Linked DNA regions of Nothobranchius furzeri. The protein of the gene in region 2 interacts with the protein of the main gene of each other region in a pairwise test. Links are inferred from orthologs where the notes say so. Each region holds a gene or a part of one and is shown on either strand. Other genes may lie near its edges.

Region 1 (4,338 bases), on a different chromosome or scaffold from region 2:
GGGACATGGTGAAGGTCGGGTTGGGCAGAAGATAAAAAGCACAGGAAGGACACATTTTCACTCAAGAGACTGGAGCATGAGGAGCTGCTTGAGAACCTTGGTCTGACTGGTCTCCCTGATCTCTCCTGCCAGGAACATCTCGTCCACCACCGTGTACACCTTGAGACAGACGCACAAAACAGATGAGAGGACAAATACTGATCTGAGCACAAATACCATCAACTGCATGCGAACATGACCCAACTCCCCCTCTTTGTCATCAAAATAATACAATTAAAAATACATGTAATGTCTTTCTATCAGAGATTGTGTCAAATCTGAAAAATAATCCCTCTGTGTGTTCTCACCTTGTAGAAGTTGAACACAAGATCCAGTTCGCACACATTGTGAAAATATTCATTCAGCACCTTCCAGCAAAGAGAAACAGAAAAATGTACATTTTAAGCTACACAACCAAAGTGTGTACGACAATTACCGACAATTCCTACGAGTGAAATGCGACTGCAGAACAGAAAATACCAAATTCACTTTAAATAAAACAACATTTTAAACCTGTTGTTCAGGATTTGGTTTAGCTGTTGGCTAACGGTAACAAGGACAGCTATTGTCTACTATTGATTTTCTTCTACTTTATTCTGGCTTCCACAGCTGCCCATTTGCTTTCCATTGTGTGAGAAATGGCAGAAAGGCTGCAGCATAACAACAAATTTAACCATTTTGTCCTAGTTTTTTAACAGTTCTATGCAAAAACAAAAAATAAACCGCTCAATAATCCCTGAGGTGGTCCATTTCAGAGAAAGGCTTCAAAAGTAGTTTAGGTGGATACCGTCAGCTTCACTTGTGCAAAATTATTATTGTAAAAGCACAAAGATCAGACTGAAAACACTGCTGCTAAAACAGAATAGTGAAATTTTACCTCATTTCTGTTTCAGACTCGAAGCCAAAACATTCAATCATCAAAATATAAAAATAAAAACTTTAATTGTATTTGATGCTTAAGTGTTTCAAACCGGTGCTGAAATAGAGGTTAAATAATTTTAAATAAATTCAATTATTTTCTCCTGACACATTCTGCACCAGACAGATGTTATATAAGGTGAACATTTAATTGCCAAATCACACATTTATTATGAATGCTTTCCATGCCTTCATAACTGAATGACGATCATTTTTAACCACTATATGTTAGTTTTTAATCCACACAAAAATGCAGCCAGTTTGGCATTCAAGAACTGCAAGGTAACAAATCACAGCCACAAAGAAACACTCCTAAACCCCACCAGACCATGACAAGCACAGGTCATGTGTGTGTTTTATCTCGAAATAAGGTTATTGTTTTGTTCATATGTCCACTGATTTCATTTTAAGTGTATTAGCTACTGCTAGGTTCTTGTTTTCTTTTTCTACAATTTGTACAGTTTGGGCTCTTTTTACTTCCAACTTGTTATACTTTCCCTCCTCTCTCATCTATTTTGTAGAGTAGCCCACCACTGTTTTTTGGCCTTTGGACCTCCTGTACAGCACTCTGGACAGCTGAAATGCTGTGTTTTTAAATGTGCTTCATAAATAAATGATGGATGGATGTTTGTGTGTGTTCATTGTTTACCTCAACAAAGTTGTGGATCGCCTCGAGGTATGCCAGGTTGTTATCAGTCACATCCACACAAATACAGAAGTACAGGCCTGCATAACGTCGGTAAATGATCTTGAAGTTCCTGAACTGTGAGGACAAAATGGTGAAATCCAATTAGAAATTTAGATTTGTGTAACAGAAGTTTCAGCAGAGCTGAGAGACTCAAGGCTTTGTATACCAATAATTATATTTAAGTCTACTACAAGCAAAAAATAAACAGGTGGGAACCTCTTCTATTATACTGTATTTGTTAAAAATGATAAGTCACCCAAGGGTGTATTTAAGGCGTTATCTTCACATACAGACCAAGTTCAATAAATAGAAAATATGTTCTTTTGAATGTTATTTTCCTGCAGATATTGATCAACATCCATATATGAAACATTACAATCCAATTGCATTTCAGCCTCTCTTTCAAGAGTATTGAGCTATACTTAAAATTAGAAATCTTAACTTTTTAATGTCTATGCAGTCTGCAAAAACAGCCACACATTAAAGCATTTATACAATCCCATACCTCCACAAAGTTGGTGTGCTTGGCATCCCTGACTGTAACCACAGCATGCACTTCTTCGATCAGTTTCTGCTTTTCGTCATCATCGAACTGCATGTACCATTTAGCCAATCGTGTCTTCCCTGCTCGGTTCTGGATGAGGATAAAGCGGATCTTTGGGATAGAAAACGGATTAGATCAAACAAAATAATCTGCAACAAAACCCACCCACACAAATGATTAACACACTGGAATAATATGTACCATAGATTGGCAGCTATGGAACTCCAGCTTACTGAGATGTGAAAGTAACTGAAGCTATTACTGACCGTTAGCTTGGCTGGTGTAAAAGGTAGCACTATTAAACCACACCTAGCTTTTAACATAATGCGTACACTTCGACATTCTTGAATTTCACCATGCTATCTACATAGGCTAAAGTGGAGGTTTTCTGTGGTTAAACCCTCAATTTAACCACCAGTATAGTTTTCTAGACTGAATGGAGTGCTTATCTGTCGAGTTCTAAACGCTAACATAACCTGACGGCTAATAAAAAAAAAGATTAACTTGAATAATTGAATAACTTTACCATTTTCGTCTTCCTAATATGCTTCTTGGGCACTCCAGAATATTACGTTCATGAGCAATAATGCACCACTTTTATATTAAAACATCGGTATCTCTTTTTTCCGCCCGTTCGTCCGCTATCCTCTCAAGCTAACAGGATGTGCAAAACTACGCCGAGTTATGTTGCATTCTGGGAAACGTAGTCATCGCTGCTTTTCTGCCAAGTCAATGTAATCCACGAGAAACTACAACAACCAGCGGTCCCGATTGACGTATCGAGTTTCGTTGCGTTTTTGGATCACATGAGAAAAACCTTCACAAATTAATGTATGTCAAGCCAGTTTAACATATATGTCAAGCCAGTTTAACACATAATTTTTTGAGCGTTACAGGTTCGTGATATTCAATCATTTAGTTCCTAGTAAAAAAATAAAATAAAATAAAATAAATTTCAACTATTTCAGAGGCTTTCATGCAACCCACCACAATTCTATTCAAGCATACTAGTTAGCGTTTAGTTAATTTAAACATAAGTGTTTTATAAAACAATCTCAGTTGTGAAACCTAAGATGTATGCATTATTTTTATGATAATATTTTTCAGCAAGAAATGCAATTTCCATGGAAAGAATTGCAAGAACAGATTGCAGCTGATTAAATGTCATAAATAGTCAAAACTTTTGTCAAAAAAGGCAAAAAAAAAGCCAAAAAATTCCTGAAAAAGTTTTATATTTCATATGAATTTTGGTAATGAAAAATTACTTAGCTATTGTAGTTTTACTATTATGCTGCACTATATGGAAAGATTTAGTGCACAAACATGAAGGACAGATCATATAAAACTACGGCTATGTTCCCTTTGTAAATTAGTTTGTCATACATAATTTGTCTCAGGTGTTACAGGTTACTGAAAAAATCTATATATAGTCACACATTTCTGCACAATTGTGAAGTTGTTTGTGTTTTATTCCTGCATTATCAAGGCTTAGCATTTGTTTACGGGTCTGGCTGGGCAGTCCACCACAGGCCACTGCACAGACAGTTTAGACAGCTTGGATCTGAGCGCTCTGGGCATTTAGGGAGTCTGATGGGAGGAGGTGTAGGTTGGGGGGGTGGGGGTGGGGGGGGGGGGGGGATTGCACAACTCTTGTGTAAAGGAATGCGCCTGCCCTTGGGACCCAGAGATATCTCAGCTGCAAATGGTGCAAACGTAAAAGAATAGAAGAAAAAGGGAAAGCGTGTAAACAAAGGGAAATTGTTTTTATCCCCTCTGTAATGCTTGTGAGCTTTGACTGACTTTAGTCGTGCTTAGATTTATAACACTGCGGTAATGTTTCGCAAGAAAATAATTTCAACAGCGATGCATTTCATTACTCAAGGAGAGGGACGAGGTAGTAAAAAAGGCCCGGAAAAATAAATAATAATAATAATGAAAAAAGATCAAAGCTGGGATAAAGGGACGTAAAACAGAAGCAGATTATTCAATAAGAACTTTGACCCTGCAGGCTAATCTTGCTTTGTGTGATTGAGGTCATGCAAATATTATGAAAGCACAGTGGACAGAAGCAAATGGATTCACTCAAACAACACACCTTGAACCCTGACTCATATTTAGGATGAATCATTCATTCTGTCAGGTAAGACGT
Region 2 (4,117 bases):
AAGCATACTGCAAAAGCAACCAGAGAGTTTTTGAAGGGAAAGAAGTGGACTGTTTTGCTATGGCCAAGTCAGTCACCTGACCTGAATCCGATTAAGCATGCATTTCACTTGCTGAAGACAAAACTGAAGGGAAAATGCCCCAGGAACAAGCAGGAACTGAAGACTGTTGCAGTAGAGGCCTGGCGGAGCATCACCAGGGATGAAACCCAACGTCTGGTGATGTCTGTGTTCCAGACTTCAGGCTGTAATTGACTGCAAAGGATTTGCAACCAGGTATTGAAATGTATAAGTTTGATTTATGGTTCTTATTCTGTCCCATTACTTTTGGTCCCTTAACAAGAGGGAGGCACATATGCAAACTGTTGTAATTCCTGCACCGTTCACCTGATTTGGATGTAAATACCTTTAAATAAAAGCTGACAGTCTGCAGTTAAAGCGCATCTTGTTTGTTTTATTTGATATCCATTGTGGTGGTGTATAGAGCCAAAAATGTTAGCATTGTGTCGATGTCCCAATATTTATGGACCTGACTGTACATCTTTTACAGCCTTTGTGGGGATAAGGCACATTTGTAACAAGACACCTGTCAACAATACCTAAAGATGAAATCAAAGAAGAAATCAAAGTCCACGTTAGTAGTTTTCCACCTGCAGCACCAAGGCTCACTTGAGTTAAAAACTTTGAAATAACTCACTGATCTGGAACACTTGTGGTTTCTTCTCCAAACAGGACTTCCATCATTTTTTTTAAGAACACAATTTATTTCAGAATCAAAAGTTTCTAAATTCAACTATGCCTACAGTTTCACCTGTAAGCATCTCCACTTTCGAGGGTGTGATCAGGACGTCTTGGGGCAGTGATGCTTTTGTGAGCTCCAGGACTGGTGGGAGGGTCAGCAGGAGGGAGAAGGATTCCCAGCTGATTAGCTTTGACTCTCCTCACCTGATGATAACCCATCTATCTCATCGCCATCACCACCAATGGCTGTCCAGAATGCTTTAGCCACCTGAAAATTTAATTTATTGTCAATATTCCATACAAGCTTCTCGTTTGTGTTGAAATAAACTAACCTACAAACCTTTTCTGCATGAACTTTTCTCTGCTCATGAGGTAATGAACAAGCTTTATCTAAAGGGGAAAAAATATATGACCTTTAATGCAAATACTCGACCTTCATGCCACAAAAAAAAATATTAACTTCACATTGTAAACTTATTTTCTTGTTTACCTTTCATCTCCTTTAATTTTGTAAAGAGACGTTCAAAATTATCCACATCTGCATCTCCAGCTGTGAGATGGGCAAGCTCCTGAATGTCTAAATCAGTCATGGCATCTGCAAGGATCAACACAGCTTACGTCAACAGAAGGGTTTGGTTGGAAATTGCATGAATAAAAAACAAAGGGGAAAAACGTGCCCACTACTGAATCCTCCTGCGATTCTGTGCTTGAGCTGTTTTCTCTCTGGTTGACCTCTTCATTGATGACTGTGCTCTCTGCTGGTATGCTGGAGGACTGTCACAGAACCAGCATTAATAACAGACCTTAAAAACGGCTTTATTGATTTAAAATTAATTTTTCAATAAAAATTGTATTCAAACCAAATTATTTTGGATGTAAAAACAAGGAATATTACATATTGGCACAAAAATGAAAATGTTTACAATAAAAATCTACTCACTGCTGGATCCTGGCAGTAACGTGGGTTGTTATGTCTGGAAGCCACTAAACTGCTCATTAAACCAAAACCCTGATTGTGCCCTGTTGGAAATAAAAAAAAAGTCACATGAATAATATATACACACAAAAAAATTATACAAGTCTACAAAATATGCAGCTAATATCAATTCATCAATTCACCATCCTTCATCTCCACACTGGACCACACGTTGGCATTAAGCGCCTGAACAACTCTCTTCACTCCTGTGGATTCTGGAAAGTCATCTAAAAATTACAAAAGAAATAATGATTGATTGAATAAATAAACAAACCAAACTGAGTATTTGTTAAAGATAACTATGATTGTAATTTCTTCTGCAAGTTGAACTCACCATCCTCATCTGGAAGCTCCTGTGGATTGAGCTCCACAAGCTCAAAAGCATGAGCTAAACACCATTGTTGTGCTTGATGTCTTGTAACACCTTAAAAAACACACACTTAATGTAGCAATGATGTGCAAATTGTATTACTGTTTTTCCTGCTAACTGATGGACACTATTTACTAACCGTTTTCACAAACTCTGTCACAAACCAGAATGAGCACTTCTGGAGCAAGATCTTCCACCACTGAAATCCAAGGCTTCAACTTTTCCAGCCCATCTTTCTGTAAACATCAACCAAACGTGATGGAAATAAAAACTCAGATTATATCATTTTATTATAACGTGATTCATGGGGTACAAACCGTTTTACTGTCAAAGTAAGCAATAAAAGCCTGCATAGACTGGGCAATCTCAGATGACATGTCATAAATGCTAGGTACAGCACACAATCGGACATCAGCTGTATAATATTTGTTGTTGATGGTCCAAGGATACCAGGAGACCGTTTCGTCTTGTACGGATGGCTGAGGCAAAGTCTCTGAACCAAGGATTTCTGAGGGGGTGAAAATAGCACACGGTATGTTACATTAAGCAAAGCTGCAACCACACAAAGCACCTCTAAATACCTGCTGTGCTAGCTACGTTTAGCTTACTTGCTACATGGTACACGTTATGTCTTAAATAACTTACGTTTAATCAGCTCTTCTTCTTTAAATTCACTGTCACAACTAGTGACAAGCACACACGGAAGAGTCATTTCTATGTTTTCTTCTGTTGCTGACATTTCTGACATTTGCTTGTTTCTGAGCTGCTAGTTTCCGGTGTAGCAACGTAGGCGACCTTTCAACTCTGACGCAAATTCCGCTTCTGGTGAAACGTTAATTCGACAAGTAAAAAAAAATCACAAAAAAAAGTCCGTAATTAAATTACATCAAATTATTGAAGCTGTGTTGACACTGATTGTTTATATAGTAAATTGTACAAAAAAAACTAAAATCTTAGATGACCTGAGTGTGAAATTTAGCCCTTTCTATGTCTGTTAGGGCAGACTGCAAAAAATATATGTATATATTTTGTAATAGGAAGACCATAATGAACATTTGTTGGATTACCTTACGAGATGGTAAAATATATGATATTCCTTTCTTATAGGACTTAAGACTGTTTTAGATTATTATTATTATTATTGTTATTATTTTTGGAGGGCAGATAGCTGTGAACCTCACAGTCAGCCTGTGGATGAAAAAGCCCACTGTAGCTGTAGTCATGGTTACAAGCACTGGTTTCAGTAGCTTAGCACAGACGCTGGTTAAACTTCATAAACTCTTGTATTTATGATATAAGTGTAAATTTCAGTTGTCAGACCTTCTCTGGAGAATGTCTGACACACACGAGAACAAAGATAAATTGGGTGCTGATACATTTAAGGTAGGTCCATGTCATTCTTTATTTTTTGCTAATTTAGGTTTTCAACTCATTGGAAGTTATCGTAAAACTTTAAGGCAAAGTACTTGTTTGGACGAACATAGCACCTTTATCACTAAAAACCTTTAAAAATGTTTTTATATATATTGTTGTGTTAAAATAATAACAATAAAGTAAATTTGCTTAGAAATTGAATTAGTGTTATCAGTCTCCAGTCTCCCATTAAACTTTTATATTTTGTAATAAAGGTTAATTTTAACTTGACTAAATTCAAATAATATTGTCAGTGATGAGGCAAAACATTGGGCATTCAAGCCCATGCATTTAACACGTGTTTCTGTGTAAATAAAGCATGCTGAGGATTATCTGAAAACAGTGAACAAGCAGCCACTAGTACTTCCACCCATTGAAGATGAACAAAAACATACAATACCTATTTGGTAAGTGATGAATGACTGAGTTGTGTTTATAGTGTCATACATTTTTATCATGAAGTTTGTGAATCAACTTCATGCAGGAATCCTCTTGAAAATTTCTTTGAAGTGCATCCCCAAAGGAAGAAGATTCCAGGAGCATTACCTGGAAAAAAGGTAGGATTTTCTTTTTTATCAATCAATCAATCAATCAATCAATCAATCAATCAATCAATCAAT

Evidence for each region.
Region 1: the proteins of aagab (region 2) and ap2s1 interact in binary tests that used the Homo sapiens proteins (3 or more experiments, as listed by UniProt). The link is inferred for Nothobranchius furzeri from reciprocal best matches to the Homo sapiens genes AAGAB and AP2S1.

Annotation. Positions count from the first base shown.
Region 1 is NC_091753.1:41,293,494-41,297,831, reverse strand, and holds the start of ap2s1 (AP-2 complex subunit sigma), read right to left. Parts: upstream 2,869-4,338; 5' UTR 2,719-2,868; coding exon 2,716-2,718; intron 2,301-2,715; coding exon 2,151-2,300; intron 1,721-2,150; coding exon 1,607-1,720; intron 408-1,606; coding exon 348-407; intron 160-347; coding exon 58-159; 3' UTR 1-57. UniProt on the Homo sapiens protein: Component of the adaptor protein complex 2 (AP-2). Adaptor protein complexes function in protein transport via transport vesicles in different membrane traffic pathways.
Region 2 is NC_091744.1:65,858,408-65,862,524, reverse strand, and holds aagab (alpha- and gamma-adaptin-binding protein p34), read right to left. Parts: upstream 2,871-4,117; 5' UTR 2,833-2,870; coding exon 2,730-2,832; intron 2,593-2,729; coding exon 2,402-2,592; intron 2,321-2,401; coding exon 2,224-2,320; intron 2,139-2,223; coding exon 2,049-2,138; intron 1,942-2,048; coding exon 1,858-1,941; intron 1,759-1,857; coding exon 1,679-1,758; intron 1,513-1,678; coding exon 1,416-1,512; intron 1,334-1,415; coding exon 1,229-1,333; intron 1,129-1,228; coding exon 1,079-1,128; intron 1,007-1,078; coding exon 923-1,006; 3' UTR 741-922; downstream 1-740. Other genes in the region: iqch (IQ motif-containing protein H), read left to right, coding at 3,417-3,467, 3,816-3,904, 3,982-4,054. UniProt on the Homo sapiens protein: May be involved in endocytic recycling of growth factor receptors such as EGFR.